Arabidopsis thaliana: one gene and its partners. The protein of the gene in region 1 interacts with the protein of each later gene in a pairwise test. Each region holds a gene or a part of one and is shown in the gene's direction. Other genes may lie near its edges. The genes, in order: AT5G23280, CUC2, GRF4 and AT1G68360.

Region 1 (5,599 bases):
ACGATGCTTTGCCATATGAAGTTTGGTTTGTTCTATTTCTTCGCGGGTATGGTCTTGATCATGACCATTTTCATTTACTTCTTGTTGCCGGAGACAAAAGGTGTTCCGATTGAGGAGATGGGGAAAGTGTGGAAAGAGCATAGATATTGGGGGAAATATAGTAATAATGATGATGGTGATGATGTTGATGATGATGCTTATTTTTAGTTGATGATTATTTGGGATTTAAGGATATGTTAGGATTAAAAACTTATTATTGAGAAAATGCTTATACTGACCAATGTGAGAAAATAAAAATGAGGATATAATAAACAAGTGTACATAATTTGAGGATTTATGACCGTACTTAAAATTACTCGAAACTTCTTGAACTAAAAATAATATAAATTTTTTGTTTAGACTAAAATGATCATTTTTTACGATAAAGATACATGTCGAGTAATTATTAAGAGTATCCAAATTATCCGTTTGAATTGTTAAAATATTTAAAATTATTATAATTTTCCGGCTACTAAAAATTCTCTAACACTTCACAAGATTATTAAAAAAAACTCTCTCTCTCTATTTGTACTTAAAATAACCCAAATTTGACCCATTCTCATTTGGATAGCGATTTTTAAATTATTGAATTTATCTACCATATCATATCTTATCAGTTGTTTCCAAAACTTAGAAGTGAAATTAAATTGGTTATTTATTTTTGTTTGTAACATAACTAAATCAACCATCAAGTCAATCTCGAACAAACAATTGTTATCATCCATTATCCAATATTAATTACTTTTTTGTTTTGTTTTGTTACAAGTGAATACTATTCACATGATTTATAAATTAGTATTATTATTCACTCCACAACATTTTGTATCAGATTAGGTTTCAAGTTTATAGTTACACAAAAAATGGATTCCGAAATCTTTTAGATTAAAAAAAAAAAGGATCAAAAGTTCAAGGTACACAATCTTTTTATAAAACTGCCGACATGATGCCATATCGCTCATGATTGCATTTATTTTTTTGCATTAGCTCACAAGAATGTTAAAAATTAACGATAAGAAAATCCATTTAATTAGGGGGTACGAGTACGAAAATAATTAAAACAAATATTAGCGTTTGGTGGTGCATAACTCAGCATAAGTCATAAAATAAATTGTTGTCACGATATGTGAAGAAAATCTCGTTGCGATGAGACGAACGACATAAAGAAAATCTTGCGTATCTGACAAGTGGACTAATCCACTTATTTTCAATGTCAGTCTCAAAATGGGAGTTATTAAAATTAATGTTCGTTCTTTTTATTTTATACACACATTTATTTTATATATATATTTATATTATATACAGTAAAACCTCTATAAATTAATAACATTAAAACCATAATATTTTTAATTTATAGTACTATTAATTTAAATGTCTTTGGGTATTTTAGTTGGCAAAACTCAACTAATTACAGGTAACTTTCTTTTGTGATGTCGACAAAAGAATTCTGAATAATTTTTAAGGGTTTCGATTTTTGCCATTTCACGTAAAACACGTGATACTGGGCTACTGGCATTTACGGCAGAGTAACTGGTGGCAAATATTATTACCAATATACTATAAACAAATAAATAAAAAGAACAAACACTAGTATTAAATTTTGATTGTTTTATAACTCAATTAAGTTTTGATGTCAAAGTCTACTTACCAATCAATTACCTCACTGATTTGTCTCCTTTTCAATCTTTTCGATTGTTTTATGGAAACAGCTTTCTAAAAAAGATTAATTTTCACGTAATCACAAAACAAATGTTCACATTAGCCCAAATCTAATAACCACATTAGGTTGGTCCCAAAAATTTAAAAACAAAAAAAAACTTTTTTAGACAGAGAGACCAACTTCAATACATTTAGTTTCATGTATTTTAAATAAGATTAGTATCTTCGTGTTAATTTCCAAATTCAAGCTTATAGTAAGTTAGTAATAATGTATATAATGACGTGGCAAAGGATAAATGTCTCTTTAAATGCACGTAGCAGCCGGAGGAGTGACCCACCTACCTAGTGTTAAATTCTCCTGCCGGAGTTTGGTCCCCACGCGACCTTCTTCTTCACCGGAGTAATAACGCGCGTGAGCTCCACCGCGTCGGGACAAAACTAATGTCCTCTCAAAAAAGCAAAAAAAAAAAGAGAAAAAAAACCAGAGATGGTGAGCTGTGTGAAAAGGACCCCACCACACCCATGTGCTTCTCCTTCCTGTCTCCACCAGCTCCCTCCTTCTCAATCATTAGCTTCTTCTCTTCTCTTCTCTCACAGAGAGAGTAATCACAAGCCAAGTGAGAAAAAGAAAACACTAAACCCAGATCGAAAACCATGTCTATTAACAACAACAACAACAACAACAACAATAACAACGATGGTCTTATGATCTCATCAAACGGAGCTTTAATCGAACAACAACCATCAGTCGTTGTGAAGAAACCACCGGCGAAAGATCGACATAGCAAAGTCGATGGAAGAGGGAGAAGAATCCGTATGCCGATTATATGTGCTGCTCGTGTTTTTCAGCTAACGAGAGAGCTTGGTCATAAGTCAGATGGCCAAACAATTGAATGGTTACTTCGTCAAGCAGAGCCTTCTATTATAGCTGCAACAGGAACTGGTACAACTCCAGCGAGTTTCTCAACTGCTTCTGTCTCTATCCGTGGAGCCACCAATTCTACTTCTTTAGATCATAAACCCACTTCTTTACTTGGTGGTACGTCACCGTTTATACTTGGGAAACGTGTTAGAGCTGATGAGGATAGTAATAATAGTCATAATCATAGTTCTGTTGGTAAAGATGAGACCTTTACGACAACACCAGCTGGGTTTTGGGCTGTTCCGGCGAGGCCGGATTTTGGACAAGTTTGGAGTTTTGCTGGAGCTCCACAAGAGATGTTTTTACAACAACAACATCATCATCAGCAACCATTGTTTGTTCATCAGCAACAGCAACAACAAGCTGCAATGGGTGAAGCTTCTGCTGCTAGAGTTGGGAATTATCTTCCGGGTCATCTTAATTTGCTTGCTTCTTTATCCGGTGGATCTCCCGGGTCGGATCGAAGAGAGGAAGATCCACGTTAATGGTTTAAGCCCTTTTAGGTTTGAGGGCAAAATTTGGTATATATATTTATTATCTTCTCTTCTCTATTGTTGTCATTGTTTCTCTATGTGTGTGTTTTAGTGTTGTTAGAGATTGATTTGGTTTCAGAATCTCTGCAAGTGATTTGAGAGTTTTCGTTAGCTTTAAGTAAGTTAAAGACGGTTGTTTTTGATTAGGGTTAAATTAGGGTTTAAGAATCTGTTGTTTTTTTGGAGGGAGATCGATTTCTTATCGGATCCAAGATTACTTTTAGGAAAAAAGGGAAAATTTCAGAAACCACGGTGGTTTCTTTTCCTCTTTTTTTTTTTGTGTCTGTTTTTTTTTTCCGGTGAAACAGAGCCGTCGATTAAAATTTCAGATATATATTTAAATGTTTTAATATGGTTTGTTGTTGTTGTTGCTAATTGTGTAATGTGTTACAACAATTGTGGTGAAGCATTTGCGTAAGCTGTTAACCACGTTTATTTCTAATAAATGTTTCGAATTCATATTGTTCCTTCCTTCTCTGCATTTATTGATACACAAAAAGCTTTATGTGATAGTGATTGTTTCGTTGAAATCGAACCGGATGATGGATTTTTGAACAGAATCATAATAATCTCTTATTTTTTTAGTGGATATATGTATGAATTGTGGATTTTGAGATGCTATTTATTTTTGGCGTTTCGCGTCTTGATTTAATGCAAGAACTGAACAGAGGATTTAGTAAGAAAAAGAGACAAACCAGTTGTGTCTGAATTCTTCAATTTTGTTGCCTTTTTGTTTCATATGAATCTTTGTACTGTGCTTTTGGAAGTTTGGTTTGTCACGTTAGTCAGAGAAATATTAAATTTAAGTACTGTTAAAACTATATGGCGACATGATATCTTTAAATTAATTGTCTATATTTTTGTTCTAGAAACTGTTACAATTTGAAAGATTAAAGGTGTTAGAATTGTCTCTTCTCTTGTTTGAGATTAGCTATCTAAAAAAATGTGGGTGATACACTCGAACATGAGTTCAAATGGTTGTTTTAATTTTGGCAAAAACCATTTTCACTGTTGTAATAATTTGGACTATCAAAAAAGTAAATTTTATTTTAACCCCTGATATAGTATAATTTCTTATGCAAAGTATATTTAAGGTACAAATAGCATAGATTCAATGATTTCGTTTGTGGTTTTCACAGCTATATATCTGCTGAGTAATGTATTTAACCAATAATTTATTTATCACGATAATACCTGATGAATAAATGTCAAAGTGATTAGATAGGCTTCTTTAGACTATTTAGGTCACACTAACCAATCAAAAGAATCAAACAAATTTTCTCATTAAAATAAGAATCCATTAATGGAAAGATCTTAACAAAAAGTTGGTGTTTTTTCTTTCTTAATTAGGTCTTAGTAATTAACACTTAGCTATATAATGTAATGCAAATAATTATAGGTGGGGGATCTTTGTAATCAACTCGTATCAATAAAACATCCGTACCTTTTATTGTCGAATCATCTAAATGACCCCAACACCAATAATTGATATGGTCCCAATTATTTTCTACCGAAAAATAATTTCTATAGGCTGGCAAATAATTCATATACGAGTCTTTATTTTTCATATACATATTTCGCATTTTGGACCGACACATGTAAATAAATAAATAGCCTCTCATTCACCTCACTCTACTAGCTCTGTGCCGTGTTAAATTAAATGTACTGTCAAATACTTTATGGTTCAGAAAAAATTGATGACTAAACATTATCATAGAGTATCAAAATTTGATTTTCAAAACTGACTATAAAAACAATTTTATAGCAAAAATAAAATAAATTTTAGTTGTTTCTTTTAAACGTTAAAGCATGTTCATTTTTTCCTAGTTGCAGATTCTACAGTGATCAATTTGGGATCTATATTAATTCTATATAAGACCCAAAACATGTAAGAATATTAATTTTATGTGTTATTTGTTTAGTTACAAATGTAAAAATACGCAACTAATTAACTATTTCATTTGGTTACATTTTTTTATAAGTATGACAAAATATAAGCAAATTAAGTATTGTTTGAATTATAAGCAAATATTTTTTTGTTTCAAATTTTTTCAAAATATAGGTAAACTATTAAAAATTGTTTTTTGATTCAATTTTGTTTTAATTTTTATTTGAATCAAAGCATACACTATTTTCTTCTTTAATCATTTAAGGCCTCGAAAATGTTAGAAACAGCTTAAATGGGCCAATATGGGCCTTATGACTTCATCTCTAACGCTGAAGTCTGAACTCCGCTTAACGGGCCATCACACACTTCGTCTCTAACCTTTTGAAGAAAGAGTTTGAGCGCATCGCAAACTCGAAGGCGCGACTGTGAGAGAGAAGAATGGCGTCGTCATCATCGAGAGGAGAGATGGAGAAGATGGGAATCGATCAGCTAAAAGCTTTGAAGGAGCAAGCAGATCTGGAAGTGAATCTTCTTCAAGATAGTCTCAACAACATCCGTACA
Region 2 (6,103 bases), about 14 Mb from region 1:
GATATTTACAGTATACAATTATTTATACATTACAGAAAACAGAGTCCATGTAGCCATATAATGCTATATTAACTGCTCTTCTCCTTACCTACTCTTCGACTGCTTGAGCTTGACCATCGAGATAACAAATAATTTGGTTTTTGTTTTGGGAAAGTCTATCTGAAGTAAGATCCTCTTTCGAACCATAAAAATTACAAATATGTATTATCAAAAAAATGTTGACCACAAAAAGAAATTAAACATAGATTGGGCTATTAGTTTACTCAAGTGAGTAGGTCACAAGGGAATATCTACTGTTTCTTAATACTGTGTTAACCTCCTGCATTTATAATGCTATCATTATTTATTTTATTGGGTTCTCTTACGTCAAATAGTTTATTATTGGCATTTGTTCATTTGCTTTTTGCAGTTATTAAAAAAAGATGATATGCGGTATTACCAAACATTTTAGAAAATAAATAAAAGTTTTGTAATAAATGATTGATAAAACAACAACGAATTTTATGGTAGGACATATGTTTTTCTGTAGAGAAAAACAAATCCATTTTGGTGTTCGAAAGCAGCCATAAATTTCAGATCAATAGAAAAATATAAACAATTTGGAAAAGAAATTGAAAAATAAAATAAAGAGGATGATATGTATATAGAATATCAAACACTCTACTATTGTGTTAATTAATCAAAAGGGGATAAATGTGGTATTTAAAGTGTCAAAAATATAGCATAAATGGAATGAAGGTGATAGAAAGTAGGGAGTGTGCATTTTAACCTTGAAAAAGTACGGATATTAGATATTTAAAGTCATAAGAATATTTTTCTCGTTATGAAAAAAATGCTAAGCAAACAAACAAATTAACCGTGAAAAATATATGTTTAAATTAAGATAAAGTAAAGCAAATTTCTAAAATTTGGCAAGGTCAATATCAACATTGTAATCTGTTTGGCCATTGTTTTCAGTTTAAGACAATTAACACTTTGGCACACTAGAATGTATTCAAAACTTCATAAATTCAAGTAATTACAATTATATAATGTTATTGCTTCGGTTCATAGCTTGGTGATAATCTTTTACTTCAACTATCTGTAATTAAGACAGGAAAGGATCTTATTAATTAGATTTAGTTACTGTCATATGCAGATATGTCTAAAAAGACGTATAGATAGACCTACAATTTCTAGATAGTAATAAATACTACTATTAAACAGTAGTAGCAGGTGTAATAGTCTTAGCATGTCTCTGATAATGATTTTTAATGTATAATTATTACTTTGCATACTTTATAACATCTTCTTTTTTTTAACTAATAGTTACACACATGATAAGTCCGTAGATATGAATACTCGAAGGGGAGAGTTATTTTGATTTAAGTTTATACAATTTTTTCATACGGTTAAAATAGTCAATAAGTCTGTAGTTAATTTATTAGTAGAAATTGATCAACTCACTATCTTTTTAGTTTGATCTTAAGGTCTTTACATTTTTGGGTGTGTCTTTTATTCTTTAGTTTATTCTTTAGTACATTTTTGGGTGGGAAATTTTAAAAAACAAGTCATGTCAAATAGGGCTAAAATTGAAGTTCCACTAAAATAAATAATTTGTATGAGATAATAATCAAAATATTGGAAGTAACAGAAATAAATTAACAATTGTGAAATTTACGTTTAGTCATGTCATTTTGGTGGACCTGTAACAATCAACATAATTGATAATTAGTTATTTGATGAGCCATAATTAATTTATATAAAAAAGGAGAAAAAACAGACTTGAGATAGTAATTAAGAAAACTACAAAACCAGGCAGCATAAATATCTTCTCTGATTTGCAACCTGTAACTTCTTGATTAAATTATTTTTCAATCTTACATCATAAATCTCGTTGCTTGAAAATAATGAAATTTAATTTTCTTTTGCTGAGTCTTACAAATGAATATGAAGCAATGAAAAGTAACTAAAAATCCATCACAGGAGTAAAAAATTGGAAAATGGAAAAGATGAAACAAAAACGAAAAGAAAATCAAGGAAAAAAAAAAGAGAGGTGAAAGGTGTAGAAGGTGGTGGCGTGTAGTAACGAAGTCTCTGTCAAAGTTTTTGATAAATTAATCATGTACTGTGCTGACACTCCAAGATTTGAAACAGCCTTATCGATATAATATCCATTTTTCTATTAAAAATAAAAATTGAAACTCTTCACTTTCCAAATAACTAGTGTATATGTCTAATAATGTATCCCTCACTATACTACTATTGTTTCGATTAGTCATTGTACGTATAATAAATTATTATGTATCCCAATTTCCAAACACAATAATAAAAAGAAATTTCAAGTTCGTAGATAAAAAAAAAGATACAATCTGAATCCTCTCTTTTATTTTCATCACTGACAGAGAATACCACTGCACTTTTTCTCATGCACGCACGCATACTCAGATAGAAACAAGAGCCCATTCCTCGTTTCTTTAATAATTTAATTCAAAGAAATACGGACACTTCATGATTAATTTTAATTTTGTAATTTTAAAACAATCTCGAGTTATGTAAAAAATATATCGATAAACTCAAAAATGTGATGTAATAATCTGCTTTGGCTTTGCTCTCTTTACTACAAGACAAGGCAGAGAAAACCACAGATTCCTATGAAAGAGTAGACGTACCTGTCTTTTTATTATTACTAAATTTATAATTATCTTCTCTACGACTTTCTGGTTTTTAATCTTTTAATAATTATTTTACTTTCACTACCCCAAAAAAAAAGCTTCCCTCTATTTCGCCGTTTTAGATTTACCAAATCCCAATGTATAAAAAAAATAAACTAATAAAACCAAAAAATAATATCCATCCACATTATTACCACGCCCCTTACTCAAGAACCATCCATTATATTAACCTATTTATCTTCTTCTTCAAAACATTTGAGTCTCCTTAGGGTTTTTTCTCTCTCAAACAAAAGCTTTAGATCTTTCTTCTTAATGGACATTCCGTATTACCACTACGACCATGGCGGAGACAGCCAATATCTTCCACCGGGTTTCAGGTTTCATCCCACGGACGAAGAGCTCATCACTCATTACCTTCTCCGCAAAGTCCTCGACGGTTGCTTCTCAAGCCGTGCCATCGCAGAAGTTGATCTCAACAAGTGTGAGCCTTGGCAACTTCCCGGTAAGAAAATACAAAACTAACTTACTTGTAGTTCTTTTGTAATTAAGGTTTCTGAAATCTTTACTCTCAATGTTACTTAGGGAGAGCTAAGATGGGAGAGAAAGAATGGTACTTCTTTAGCCTCCGTGACCGGAAGTATCCGACGGGACTGAGAACTAACAGAGCAACTGAGGCTGGTTACTGGAAAGCTACCGGAAAAGACAGAGAGATCTTTAGTTCAAAGACTTGTGCACTTGTTGGGATGAAGAAGACTCTTGTCTTTTACAAAGGAAGAGCTCCGAAAGGAGAGAAGAGTAATTGGGTTATGCATGAATATCGTCTTGAAGGCAAATTCTCTTACCATTTCATCTCAAGAAGCTCCAAGGTACTTCGATTTAACCTTTCATTAGTTATTTTGTTGATAAAGTAAAGCCTTAATTTTCTTTGATTAATAAATTTACAATCTATTATTTGGAAAAAAAATTCGAGAGTGTGACATAGTCGGTGACGTTGATTTTTTTCTCTTTTGCTTTATTGCATTTAATTTTGATGGCTGAAAAGGCATGGTTCTTTACTGTGGTTATCTGAGAGCATTATGGAACATGAAATAGAAAAGATCTGCTGTTTTTATGTATTGGGATTTCAATCATAATGGTGTTTTCCTAAAGTAAGAAAACATTCAATAGCTCTGATAAAATAAAATATTAATACATCCTACTTTTGGAAAGCTTAATGCAAAAAACCAGAACCAATGCAAATCTTCAGGATTTTTTTCTGACCTAGATATATTAAAAAGAAATTTAATTAAATTAATTTTACTTAATTAGTGTTCCATATCCATTGTAGACTTGTAGTGTCCAATGTACATTCCCTCTGTGCACGCTTTTACTCTATGGTTTTTCTTAATCTTCACTCTCTTTTATTTCCAAGATCTAACATTGACTTTCTCATCAAACATATATTATATAAAATATTTGACTTTTCAAAACTCTAATTTATTCCTTCAGGATGAATGGGTGATCTCTAGGGTTTTCCAGAAAACCACTTTAGCTAGCACCGGAGCCGTCTCCGAAGGAGGAGGAGGAGGAGGAGCAACTGTGAGCGTAAGCAGCGGTACTGGTCCATCTAAAAAGACGAAAGTACCCTCAACAATCTCAAGAAACTATCAAGAACAACCAAGCTCTCCTTCCTCCGTCTCACTCCCACCTCTCCTGGATCCGACCACTACCCTCGGCTACACCGACAGCAGTTGCTCCTACGACAGCCGTAGCACCAACACAACCGTCACAGCCAGCGCAATAACCGAGCACGTGTCCTGTTTCTCCACTGTCCCTACTACTACTACGGCCTTGGGCTTAGACGTTAACTCATTCAGCCGTCTTCCACCGCCGCTAGGGTTTGACTTTGACCCTTTTCCTCGTTTCGTTTCTAGAAACGTCTCGACTCAATCTAACTTCAGATCGTTCCAAGAAAACTTCAATCAATTTCCTTACTTTGGATCGTCTTCTGCATCGACTATGACCTCCGCCGTTAATCTGCCTTCTTTCCAAGGCGGCGGAGGCGTCTCCGGGATGAATTACTGGCTACCGGCGACTGCCGAAGAGAATGAGTCAAAGGTCGGTGTGCTTCATGCTGGACTTGACTGTATTTGGAACTACTGATCACAAAAGAGGTGACTTATAATTGTTCCCGTTAGGGTTTTATTTATGTATTTCTAGGATGATTATGGTATTATGAAATGTGTGTACCGAGGAGCTTAATATTGCACTTAGCTTGATGTTCCGCTTAATTCTCTAGTTTTAAGTTTATCCGGTTGTGTTAATTAGGAGGTAATATGCAAGGAAAATGTTTTCTAGACTATGAACGTGCATATGTATAAGCTATGCTCGTTTTTGTAATGTTTGACATTATGTTAATTTCATGGCTTTTTCATGTTTTATATTTCTCATGATATTTGACATGTGTCCTTGGTTATCAATACAATCATACAGTATATTACCGACAAAATGAATTTCTTCGGTCGCTTCTAGATACCTTAGTTTTCTTCTTGTTAATACAATTTGATATGGCGGTTATATATATGTTTCCGGAATTCAACCGTTCCGAATCTTCGGTTAGATGATTTCCGTAATTACATAACATGGCTAATTATTTAATTTCTTCATCAATTGAAGATGCTCAAATGTAAAACATGCATGTAGTTTTTGTTTATTAATTCTAGCTAATTAAGGTTGACATGTGTAACTGCCAAAATATTTCAAGAAAGTTTCATGCTTTTAAAGTAAGTACTCATAATTCAGTGGATTAATCAGTCTATGAACACCATTTTCAGTTAGGTGTATCTTCTTGCTACAATCGTACACATATGAGACTAAACACAACAATTTGCGTTTGGCTTAATTGATTAAGATAACATGCATGTACATGGTAGTTACTGAAAATAATTTACATACTAATTTTGATTAACTTAATGCATTGTAAACCCACCAAAGAAAAGAAGTAGTTTTGAAATTAAGGATTTTGAAACGGGGATGATGAATATGATGCGCATGCTGACGAACGGACCACTCCCAAATTCAGATCTTGTACAACAGTCCACCTCACTTTCAGAAGGATGGCTTTCACATTTCTATTTTTAGAAAGAGACATAATTAATAATACCTCTGTTTATTACCATTATATATGTGTTTTCATTTCACGTGTGTATACTAGTAGGAGTATGATATATGTATGTGTGTAACACAACCATCATCATCATCATCATCATTACCATCATCAATTATTGCTCTTGTTGCATCACCAACCTATACTACCTAGTCATAAGACAAATTCACAGACTCACATATACGTCTTGCTAAATGGCAAAATTTCATGATGTTTTAGCTAAAGGAATATATGTACACATTTGTATGCTTATTATTTTGGGTTTCATTGGTTACATTTGCAATCACAAAACAAACTAAGGCAA
Region 3 (6,454 bases), on another chromosome or scaffold:
CGTCGTAACACTCATACAAATGTACGGCTTGGATTGAGAATCGTCGAGATATCTCATGGTAGGGTCAATCCAACAGTGGGCCTAAAAGCAGATCCTCGAGGAATGGTAACGACTCTCATGTTCTTCAAATTAATTTATTCTACGTTTGCCGTCACATTTATGTTATTTCTTGTATAGTATTGCATATGTTGTATTTTGTCAATCGATATGACTAATGGTTTCAATAACATATATTGTAGCATGTTTACAATAAAGAGTGGGTCAAAATGAAGGTTTTATTATCATCTTCTAATTAACTTGACTTTTTTTGGTTTAGACTTTAGATCATGTGTCTTCTCTGCTTATAATCGAATATCAACTGACTAGGAGAATCAAAATAATGTTGAAACTAAAATATTGGTCAAATTATACATCAAGTCTTACAACATTTTTGTTGGTGTTAAACATAGAGTTAAAGAAGGCCACAAGAATCATTCCAAATTGAATATAATAAGCACATTAAGAAATTAGAGGTCTGCTAAGAGGTTTGCTTATTTCGGTTTTTGTTGGTGTACTGCTAAACGTAGAGTTTAAGAAGCCCATAAGAATCATTCCTAAAGGAATATACGAAGCCCATTAAGAAAATAATTAAGGCACGTGAGGCCTCGCGTGCTAGCGTGACTAGGCTTTTTATTTACGGCCCATCGTAAGTGAACGTAAATGGCATAGTGCGTAAACAGACGGTAACTTTTGGTCAAAAAGTGAAAAGAATATATTTGGTATCTCACATTACATAGTGAGACCCACAGTCTGTGCCCTCGTCGGAAACTAAAGAGAGAGCCTCCTCAGATTATGATTTCGTTGTCCGGCTCCATCTTTACTCCAGCTCGGCTCGGTTCGGATCAGCTCCCGTGATTTTCAAATCTATGTGAGTAGGTGGAGAGTTTGGGCCGGGCCCTCTTCTGATCTCATCTGGTCTTAATCTTAGCACGTGACCCAACCCTTGTCCACTGAATAATACTATATATTTTCTGTCATTTTATTTGGTTTTACGAAACAATTGGAACATGAGCAACATATAAAAATGTATGTAGTATGGTAATTTAAACTAATGCATTTACCATGTATAACCTAATAACCATGTAGGTTAAAGTTTAAACAAGATATATATAAAGTTAGTCTAGATAATCAACATTTGTTTGGTTGTTTTGTTACCATTAGTATTACTGCATCTGCATGTAATCTTTGTTCGTGTTCATGATTGAAAAAAGACATACAATATGTCATTACGTTCACACTTTGCTTTCAGTTTGTTTTCCTTCGATATCATTATCTTTGGTATATGACAAGTTCTGGCCCAAAATATTAGTGCACAGGATCCATTATTACTTTATTAGTTAAGACCCATCATTAGTGCACAAGATCCATTATACTATCAAGTATCAACAAAAAATATTTCTATTTTAGAGGCTAATATTTTGTTTAGGCCATTTGCGAAATATTTTTTCTATTCTAAAAAAAAAAACGTAAAATGTTTATTAAATTCAGTTGCCGCTTTATACTTGTTACAAAGATTTTTGTTTTTCAAAAAGGAAAATTTTACAAAGTCAAAAAGAACCTATGGTATATTTTGAAAACAAAGTTTATTTTGGGTGTTATGTTATGATATTCCTCTTCTTTTTTATTTGGTTCACAAGATTTACAGCAAATGAAGTGTACATAACATTGAACTGTACTTAAGGAATTGAGTTTTTCTTATATTTTTCTTAGTGCAAATATAAATGCCGCCGAAACTGGTGGGAATGAATGAAAAGAAAACTCAAGAAACTCTCTCAATAGTCATCATAGTCTTTGGTTGTGGCTCACTCCTACATGAAATATCGTTATCGTCCTTCTCATATTTATTACTTTATTTCCTCAAAACTACAAAATAATGCTATCGTTTTTTGTTTTGGCACCACCAAATAAAGATACTTTGAAAATCATAAATGTCTTTTGTATTATTCAGCCAAGTGAAGATATCAAATAAATGTTTCTAACTTCATTTTAACAAATGTTTCCAAGTTTACTTGGCCTTTTCTGGTAATAATATGATTCCCTCCTTTCGATGTGTTTAGATATGTACATATACTACTAGCTAGCCATGTCTTTTTAAGATAACACAAAGATAAATGTCCATTTCTACATTTATATAAGGAAGTTATAATTTTTTTTTAATAAATCAAACAAACACAGACGTTACATAATATTTTATGAGTAACAATAATATTGTAACAGATGAGAAAAGTAATGACGGTTACAAATTAAAAGACAAATATGGTTAAACCACTAAAATGGTAAAGTATTTGGAAAACTTACTAACCAAAGAGAGTAAATAGAGCTGAGATTGTATTGTAGCTCTCTGCAAATGGAGACTATTTAGTCAAAACCCAAATGATTAATCATGCTTAGAAGTTAGAATCTCATACATTTGTAACACAATCTCTGAGACAAATGACATCTGTAAGACAAAAATTGAAGGTTACTCTACATCACATTAAATGAATCCTTAATAAAAAAACATAATAACAATATCATAATAGGCATCTCTTTAACCTACTTAAGGAATATTAAAATGAGGTAAAAAAAGGAAGTGATATTTCCAAGGCAGTGAGACATAAACACTGCAGGTTACTATCTCTCCATCTGCATCTTGCAGTGCTTTCTCTCTTTGTTTTCTGACTTACATAATTTTTATATCACATAAAGTAACAATTTATTAAACCTATCAATCAAATATTATATACTAATTTTGTTTATCCTATCAACTGTCTTGTCTCATAGTCTAAACACTTTTCTCTAGCTCTCTCTAACAAAAGAGTGAAGAAGAAAAAGTTTTTTATTTTGGGTATTTACATGACAAGCCAAACAAATAAGACTTTTGTTGTGGTTGTCTTTGCTTATTAAGCCAGACTCTCTAAAAACAAAAGAAGTGAGGGTAAAAAAACTATCCCAAAAGCAACCAACACATTTCTCTGTCTGTCTCTCTTTCTCTCTCTCTCACTCACTCTCTCTTTGTTCCATGGACTTGCAACTGAAACAATGGAGAAGTCAGCAGCAGAATGAGTCAGAAGAACAAGGCTCTGCTGCAACTAAGATATCAAACTTTTTCTTTGATCAGATTCAGTCCCAAACTGCTACTTCTGCTGCTGCGGCTCCTCTTCCTCTCTTTGTCCCTGAACCCACTTCTTCCTCTTCTTTCTCTTGCTTCTCTCCTGACTCTTCTAATTCTTCTTCTTCTTCCAGGTTCCTCAGTAAGTTGTTTTAAAAGGACAAGACTTATTCACTCTAATGTTGAAGTTGTTTTTGCTGATATTTAATCTGACGTTTCTATGTTACATATATATGTAGAGATGGGAAACTTCTTCAGCTGGGCACAGTGGCAAGAACTTGAGCTACAAGCACTGATCTATAGATACATGTTGGCTGGTGCTTCTGTTCCTCAAGAGCTTCTCTTACCTATTAAGAAAAGTCTCCTCCATCAATCTCCTATGCATTTCCTTCACCATCCTCTTCAACATAGTTTTCCTCATCACCAACCTTCTTGTCAGTCTCTCTCTCCTCTCTATTGTTTATGCTTCTCTTATCCTTGAAATAGTCTTTCTTTGTAAAAAAGATTCCCTTTGTTTTGGTGTTGGAGTTATATTTCCAAGATCTAAAATAAGTATAAGGCTGCTCTGCAACCTTGCAAGGAGTTAAAACCCTATGTGTATGATAAGCCTATTTCTAGAAGATCTATTAGCAACATAGATAGAATCAGACAAGTACATTTCGTAACCAATGTCTTGAGTGAGATTTATGTTTGTTGTTACTAATGAACAACACACACTTAATAAAAAACAGGGTATTGGGGAAGAGGAGCAATGGATCCTGAGCCAGGGAGGTGTAAGAGAACTGACGGCAAGAAATGGAGATGTTCAAGGGATGTTGTAGCGGGCCACAAGTATTGTGACCGCCACATTCACCGTGGAAGAAACCGTTCAAGAAAGCCTGTGGAAACCGCCACAACCACCATCACAACGACAGCCACAACAACCGCATCTTCTTTTGTCTTAGGTGAGGAGCTTGGTCATGGACCAAACAACAACCACTTCTTCTCCTCTGGTTCATCTCAACCTCTCCACCTTAGTCATCAACAAAGGTACAATAAAAAAACACAAACACTCTGTTTAATTAAAGTCATTAGTAGATTTGGTTAATTACAAATATTGTTGTTAGGGAAATAGTGATTTCACTGTGAAGTAATGCTGTGAAGAAAGGGGTAATGTTGGCAATAGGGTGACAAGAGAGACTTATCATACATACTTTGTGATAAAAACATTATTCTTTCTTTTGTTGAGAGATAATGATAACAGTTGGATTTGATAGAATCTAATTTTATTTACTAGTTGGGTGAGACTTTTCAATCATAGAAATAGAAAAGAGAGAGAAAGTTAAAGAGATATGTATACTTATGTTGTATTTGAAATAATGACATGGTAGGACCTCAGTGAAAGCTGACCAAACCTGCATAGAAGCCAAACAAAATAAAGCTCTCAGATTCTGCAACCACTTCCTCTTATTAACACACACATTTGACTGATTAAATTATTTCTCTAACCATTTTGTTGAATTGATCAGTCTACTTATTATTGTTCAAATGTTGGATCTTTTTGTTGACAATGTTTATGTTTATGTTTATTCCTCTCTGTCACAGTTGTTCTTCAGAGATGAAACAAGAAAGCAACAACAACAAGAGGCCATATGAAGCTAACAGTGGATTCAGCAATGGAAGATCAGACGATGGTCACATCTTGAGGCATTTCTTTGACGATTGGCCACGATCATCAGACTCTACCTCCAGTCCAATGAGCTCATCCACTTGTCATCTTTCAATCTCCATGCCCGGTAACAACACGTCCTCAGATGTTTCTCTAAAACTTTCCACAGGCAATGAAGAAGAAGAAGAGAACATGAGAAATAACAACAATGAGAGGGAGCAAATGAATTGGTGGAGCAATGGAGGGAATCACCACAACAATATGGGAGGACCATTAGCTGAGGCTTTGAGGTCAGCTTCTTCGACGTCAAGTGTTCTTCATCAGATGGGAATCTCTACTCAAGTTTTTCATTAAAGAAAAGTGTTTGTAATCTTTTTGGTTTGTGCTCTTTGAATCTTTATTTTCTGCAGAAAATAATCTTTGAATTTGTCTTCTTTTGGAATTGTGAGTTCTGCTTTTGGAATTGTTTTGTTCCTTACTCTGCTATTATATTTATGTTTAAAGCTTGACAATTTTGTATAAGCAATGAAACTAATATGATCCTCTGCCTGCAAGTAAGTACAGGAGAGGTGGTTACTTGAGCTTTTCACTTAAGCTAAACCGAATCAATTTTGGGAAACCAGTTAAACCACCTCGAATTAACCGGTTCCCGGTATAATGTAAAACCAAAACCCTGATAATCACCGGCATCGTATAGATTGATTAGACGGTGAAGTCTCGAACTTAACCGGAATAAACCTTTTCCGGTCCATCTCTAATTCACAATCTTGGGGTTTGTGCTTGCTTGCTTCAATCGCGAAGACATTTAGCAGAACCATTTGTCGTTTCCTCTCGCCAGATTCCGTGCTCCGGAGCCAGAAAGTTTCCGCCTTTAAAGTACGTCAAGATTTAAACTTTCTGATTAATTTCTAAAACCCTTTTTCGAAATGTTTGTTTGATGGTCTGATTAAAGTTTTTTTTGTACAATAATTCTCAAATTTATGCAATTGATATGTGAATTTTTAGTCTTGATTTGAACAAGTGTTTTGGAAGTTTGATTCACTTACTTTTGATCAGGAAATGAAGTATGTGAAGCCATTGAGCTTATTGGGTAATGCGCTGAAGACCAAAGTGTCAGTCCCTGGTCGGTTTCTGGGTTTAGATGTTGGTGATAAGTATGTTGGATTAGCTATCTCAGATCCTTCAAATATGGTTGCTTCTCCATTGAGGTACCTTTGATTCAGTGTCTACATGCTACAACATTTGTTTAACAGTAATTTTCAAAAATGCAAATCCTCTCTGATCAATTTTGTCACCATCATCGCTATTGAAAACCTGTTACTTCTCTTGCAGTGTTTTGCTCAGAAAGAAATCAAACATTGACCTGATGGCTACAGATTTCCAGAACCTGGTAGGTGCTATAAGTTTGATCGTTCCTTTACTTTTTAGCTCTAGATTTAAAGGAGACCTTAAACAAATACACAGATTTTAGTTCTTGTTAAGAAATGGAGAAACTATCATTTCTTAGTGTTTTTTAAAACAAAGAAAAAAGGTTGCTAGTGTAGATTAGTGTTTACTAAGATAAGGAATGAAGAAACTATCGTTTGTTTTGGTAATGAAGAAGAAAGTTTGTTAGTGTAGTAGATTAGTGTCTACTTTCACCCTCGGCTTTTTGTGATTACTGCCTTACTGGTGAT
Region 4 (4,726 bases), on another chromosome or scaffold:
AACATGAGTTTTTATTAATTTATTAAAATGATCGATAATAATTAAAACTCGGTAATCTATAGATTTTAGGGGTTAATCTTCTGTTAAAAAATTACTTATTATAATATTAATATATACATATATATATATATATATATGTTGCAATTTTTTTTTTAATATGTAAATACACTATAACTAAACTCACAACTCACTTTGAAAGCAAACTAAATTATGATAAGTATAAAAGAATTGCGTTGACAATTTTTACCTTAGGCCCCAAAGTGTGGTACATGCAAACATATATTTCTAATATAGTCATAATTAAAGACATCCTTACTAGATGTAAGAAAGTAAATTGCAATTATAGTTCATAAATTTAAGTTATTTGACTTTCATTAAAATTTTGAGATCGTATCTGAAAATAGATACGCACGATAATGCGACGGAGACACGTGGGACACACAGAAGTGAGATGTGGGACTTTTGTTCCTTTTTTATTTTCACATCTTCAATTAGATTCTCATGTTTCTTTGTCACACATTTCAAACTTTTTGGCTTCTGGGTCACTTCAGATCACATCCCACATTATGATTTGTCTTTTTTTCTTTCTCTTTCAATTAACGAAGCAATTTTATGTTTGTGATAACATTTGTTTGCATCTACTCTATCTTGACTTTACTAATCACTTTCCGTCTGTCGGCATCTTTTTACTTTGTACTAATACATATTTTGGGTGAAATTTTAAGTAAAATATGAAAATACTAATTTAAAAAACATAACTGTTGTTCTAAATTTTTGGATGGTTTTAGAAAAAGTTTTTAATTAGTTTTCTACATATATATATTAATTTAATTTAGCCAACTACAAAAAATAAATAAAAAAAAATTGTTGATTAAACGACTTTGTAAGTGATTAACTTGATAAATACTTAAATTTTATGGTCAATTGCATGAGAGTAAAACATTAAAAATACTTAAGATTTAACGAGTTTTCGGTATAACAATCGGTACATTTCGTGGGGACTCTCCCCTCTAAAACATCAACTATAAACTTTGGATTACAAATTCTGTAAGTAAGTCACTTTCAAATCATCATCTGGGTTACAAACCAAGTCGAGATATGGAATCAAGAATTAAAAAAAGAGGAACAATAGGTAACTAAAGAGATGGAATATCAAGACAATAGGTAACTAGAGAGATGGAATATCAAGACAAAAGGAGGAATAATGTATAAGTTAAAATGTTTATGGTCTCTCGACTTACATATGGTATTGAAATTTGGAAGTTACAATAATTATACAAATTGGATGTTATTCCAACTTAGGTCTAGGTATCACGGGACTTTCTTGAGTAGCTTTAGAAACTCTCTCATTGTATTTGTAGGTTAATATAAAATGACTTAGTCTACAGACGACAATACATTCTTAGCTAACAAACAAAATATCCTAAAAATTATTGACTGCTCTAGATTAGATTACCAACTGTCCGGATCAAATTTATTTATAAAAGAAATTCAGATTATATATATTTGTTTTATTCTGAGAAAACGTCAGATGTTAAAGAATCAAGAAAGACCCGTTACAATATCTTGTGAATGTTTGTTCCTTTCGTTTCATTATGAGAGCGCAACAAACTAACACACTATCATGGTCATATTAGCTTATGTGAACAAGAACATAAACTTATGTTTCCGACGTTTTAGTTGGAATTGATAAACAAAATTGGAAAGAAGTCAGAGTTCTAGGAGGAAAATGAGTACTTTATATCTAGGACTAGTTTGATATATAATTCAATATGTTTATTATGGATGAGTTGTTTTGAGATTTAGGCGATTGCATCGTAGAAAAATCAAGTTTTTTTTTGTGGGATATAAAGAGTTTTTTTAAGAATTTGTGAATCTTAAATTAGATTAAGGAGCGCTAGTGTCTTAAACATTAGGTGTACCTCCATGAAATTAAATCTACTAAAACATTTGCCATTAACAAATCTCCGAACTTAGTATGTTGCTGAGAATATATTTGCATCGTAGAAAAATATGTTCAAAAAGTTTGCAAAACAATAAAAAAATATACCAAAACAAATTAGTCTATACAAATTTTTTGTGGTAAATTAAATCTCTCATAGTTACATTTAAAAACTTCTTTCACTTATTTTTAATTTCAAAATAAATAGCAAAATCAAGTTCGTAAATAACATAATTTACATGAAACGCATAGAACGCATCAAATCAATGGTTTTTTACTTTTTTTTATTAATCATTTAGAAATTTATTTTTAAAAAAAGATTTGTAATTTTTTTAAAACAAGTATGTCGTAATTATTATTTTTTGCTTCAGAATCACATTAAAAAGTAGGTGGAAACATATGAATTTTCCCGAAGAGAACTAGTAAGAATAAACACATAAAAGTAGAGCCAAACTGAAACTTCCTTTCACATGAAAAAAAAGGAGACAAATGAAATCCAATAGGGTCCCATTATCCATGTCGTCTCGGTTCGTGTGTTCCTCAAACTCCCACTTTCACTGTTCTTTTTCTTTCTTCTTGGGATGTCCGAAAAATAAAACAAATACGTAGAAAACAAAAACCAAAGTTAATCACACAACAATCTCTCATATCTTTCACACAACACACACTTGCACAGTGTCTCCCATGTTACTGTACAAAGTCACATCTCAGTTTATATAAATATATGCCCTCACTCATCAACCTCCTCTTATTATAAGCCTTATTCAACATATCTCTTTCTTTCTTTCTAATTCTCTCTCTCTCTCTAAAGACATACATATTTAATGGAGGAGCTGGATTTTAGTTCAAAAACAACAACTTCTCGTCTAAAGCTATTTGGATTTAGTGTTGATGGAGAAGAAGATTTCTCCGATCAATCAGTCAAAACTAACCTATCTTCTGTATCACCGGAACGTGGCGAGTTTCCGGCAGGATCTTCCGGAAGAAGTGGCGGTGGTGTACGAAGCCGAGGCGGAGGAGGAGGAGGAGGAGAACGTAAGTATGAGTGTCAGTATTGTTGTAGAGAGTTTGGTAACTCACAAGCCTTAGGTGGTCACCAAAACGCTCACAAGAAAGAGCGTCAACAGCTTAAACGTGCTCAGCTTCAAGCTACACGAAACGCAGCCGCAAATTTCTCAAACGCTGGATCAGCGTCTCAGTTTTTAAGGAATCCTATAGTCTCTGCTTTTGCTCCTCCGCCTCATCTTTTATCATCATCCGCCGTGCCTCAGCCTATGGGAGGTCCTTGGATGTATCTTCCACGTGTTTCTCCATCTCAACTTCACGTGTCTCATGGCTGCGTCATCCAAGATGGTTCGGGTGGTGCGGGTGCTGGTGGGTTCTCGTACGAGTATGGGGCTCGTGATTCAGGGTTTGGAGTAGTTGGGGCTCAGATGAGACATGTTCAGGCCCATGGGCCGAGACCATCGGTTAATGGGTTTTCAAGAGAAGTAGGAACTACTTTTGATGATGGTTTAGGGTTGGATTTGCATCTCAGTCTTGCACCTGCTGGTCATTGACGTGTTTTTTAAAGCTCTTGTATATTTATCAACATTTTAATTAATTTATTTATTTTTAGTGATTTTTTTTTTCTCTATCAGTATTTTTAATTAATGACTTTAAATTCCAGTGATTGTTTGCCTAATAAATATTTTACTAGTTTAGACTCCAATTATGCTTTACTACCACAAAAAGTAGAGTCTCAAAATGCTTAACCAATTCATGAAAAAACATTCCAGAAGGTAATATTTGTTGAGACTCCAAGAAAAAAATATAAACAATAGGACCAAAGACTAAAAATATAAAAATAAACGTTAGGAGATAAGTTGTCAGGTGCACTGAAAGTGATTTTATAGAATGTATGTTTAAACACATACAAAATAATAATTCCAATATTCAGATCCATTAGATCAATCGTTTTTCAAAGCCTTTTTATTGTCAGGCCAATAGAATGCAAAGATGAGTATGAAAACTCTACACCTTTACTCACAAATTTGCTTCAAAATTGTGCTTAAAATTAGTCAAAAGGGACACGCTGCAACCTTTTTCGGATTGCGTTTGAAATTGATACGCCTTCAAATCTGTTCTGAAGTCCTTTTTTTTTTGGACAAAAGCTGTTCTGAAGTCTATGCACAAATTACTTTTGGAATTCTCACAGTTTTGACATATTGGTTTTTAGAACCAAAGTATAGAAAATTATTACTTTAGATTCGAAAATTGTTGGTAGGCCTCTGTTTTACAACAATGGAAAAAGTTAATCTACAATTAGCATCGTAGTAATTATGTACAGCTTTAGTGAGTTTTGGTCTATGGTCTTGTTAGTCGATTACACAGTTTTGTTAGAATTAAATTTAGTAGATTACCCAATTTGGTTAGAATTAAAATTACTTCTCTAACACAATTTGGTTATAATTAAAATTTTCTCATATTTAGGGATTGTAGGACCACTATAATCTTTTGGTCAATATGATTCAACTCCAGGTTTTCAAAGTCAAATACTCTCAAATCTTCAGTTAATTATTCCCTTTAGGAGCATACATGTAACCACTAGCAACGGCTATAAAGAGAGATGTCAACATACATAGAGATAGAGTTTTGGTATGTGCAATCTACATGCATATACAAACCCGGGTCGAAAATACAATTTTTTAAATGATTGTGACAACGTGATACGTTTTCTTCGACTTTAAATATCACTAGGCTCCTATATATCTCATAATTAAGGCATACAGGTACTTATATAAT

The links.
Region 2: the proteins of AT5G23280 (region 1) and CUC2 interact in a two-hybrid assay, tested with the Arabidopsis thaliana proteins (one large-scale study listed by BioGRID).
Region 3: the proteins of AT5G23280 (region 1) and GRF4 interact in a two-hybrid assay, tested with the Arabidopsis thaliana proteins (one large-scale study listed by BioGRID).
Region 4: the proteins of AT5G23280 (region 1) and AT1G68360 interact in a two-hybrid assay, tested with the Arabidopsis thaliana proteins (one large-scale study listed by BioGRID).

What each region holds. Positions count from the first base shown.
Region 1 is NC_003076.8:7,840,668-7,846,266, forward strand, and holds AT5G23280 (TCP family transcription factor), read left to right. Parts: upstream 1-1,939; 5' UTR 1,940-2,349; coding exon 2,350-3,102; 3' UTR 3,103-3,982; downstream 3,983-5,599. Other genes in the region: STP11 (sugar transporter 11), read left to right, coding at 1-207; PFD5 (prefoldin 5), read left to right, coding at 5,477-5,599.
Region 2 is NC_003076.8:21,900,659-21,906,761, reverse strand, and holds CUC2 (NAC (No Apical Meristem) domain transcriptional regulator superfamily protein), read left to right. Parts: upstream 1-2,907; 5' UTR 2,908-2,966; coding exon 2,967-3,156; intron 3,157-3,236; coding exon 3,237-3,520; intron 3,521-4,142; coding exon 4,143-4,796; 3' UTR 4,797-5,058; downstream 5,059-6,103.
Region 3 is NC_003074.8:19,614,855-19,621,308, reverse strand, and holds GRF4 (growth-regulating factor 4), read left to right. Parts: upstream 1-2,801; 5' UTR 2,802-3,040; coding exon 3,041-3,272; intron 3,273-3,369; coding exon 3,370-3,564; intron 3,565-3,861; coding exon 3,862-4,159; intron 4,160-4,714; coding exon 4,715-5,132; 3' UTR 5,133-5,332; downstream 5,333-6,454. Other genes in the region: AT3G52905 (Polynucleotidyl transferase, ribonuclease H-like superfamily protein), read left to right, coding at 5,838-5,986, 6,111-6,168. UniProt on the Arabidopsis thaliana protein: Transcription activator that plays a role in the regulation of cell expansion in leaf and cotyledons tissues.
Region 4 is NC_003070.9:25,620,453-25,625,178, reverse strand, and holds AT1G68360 (C2H2 and C2HC zinc fingers superfamily protein), read left to right. Parts: upstream 1-2,585; 5' UTR 2,586-2,766; coding exon 2,767-3,501; 3' UTR 3,502-3,646; downstream 3,647-4,726. UniProt on the Arabidopsis thaliana protein: Probable transcription factor required for the initiation of inflorescence trichomes in response to gibberellin and cytokinin. Acts upstream of GIS, GIS2, ZFP8, and the trichome initiation factors GL1 and GL3.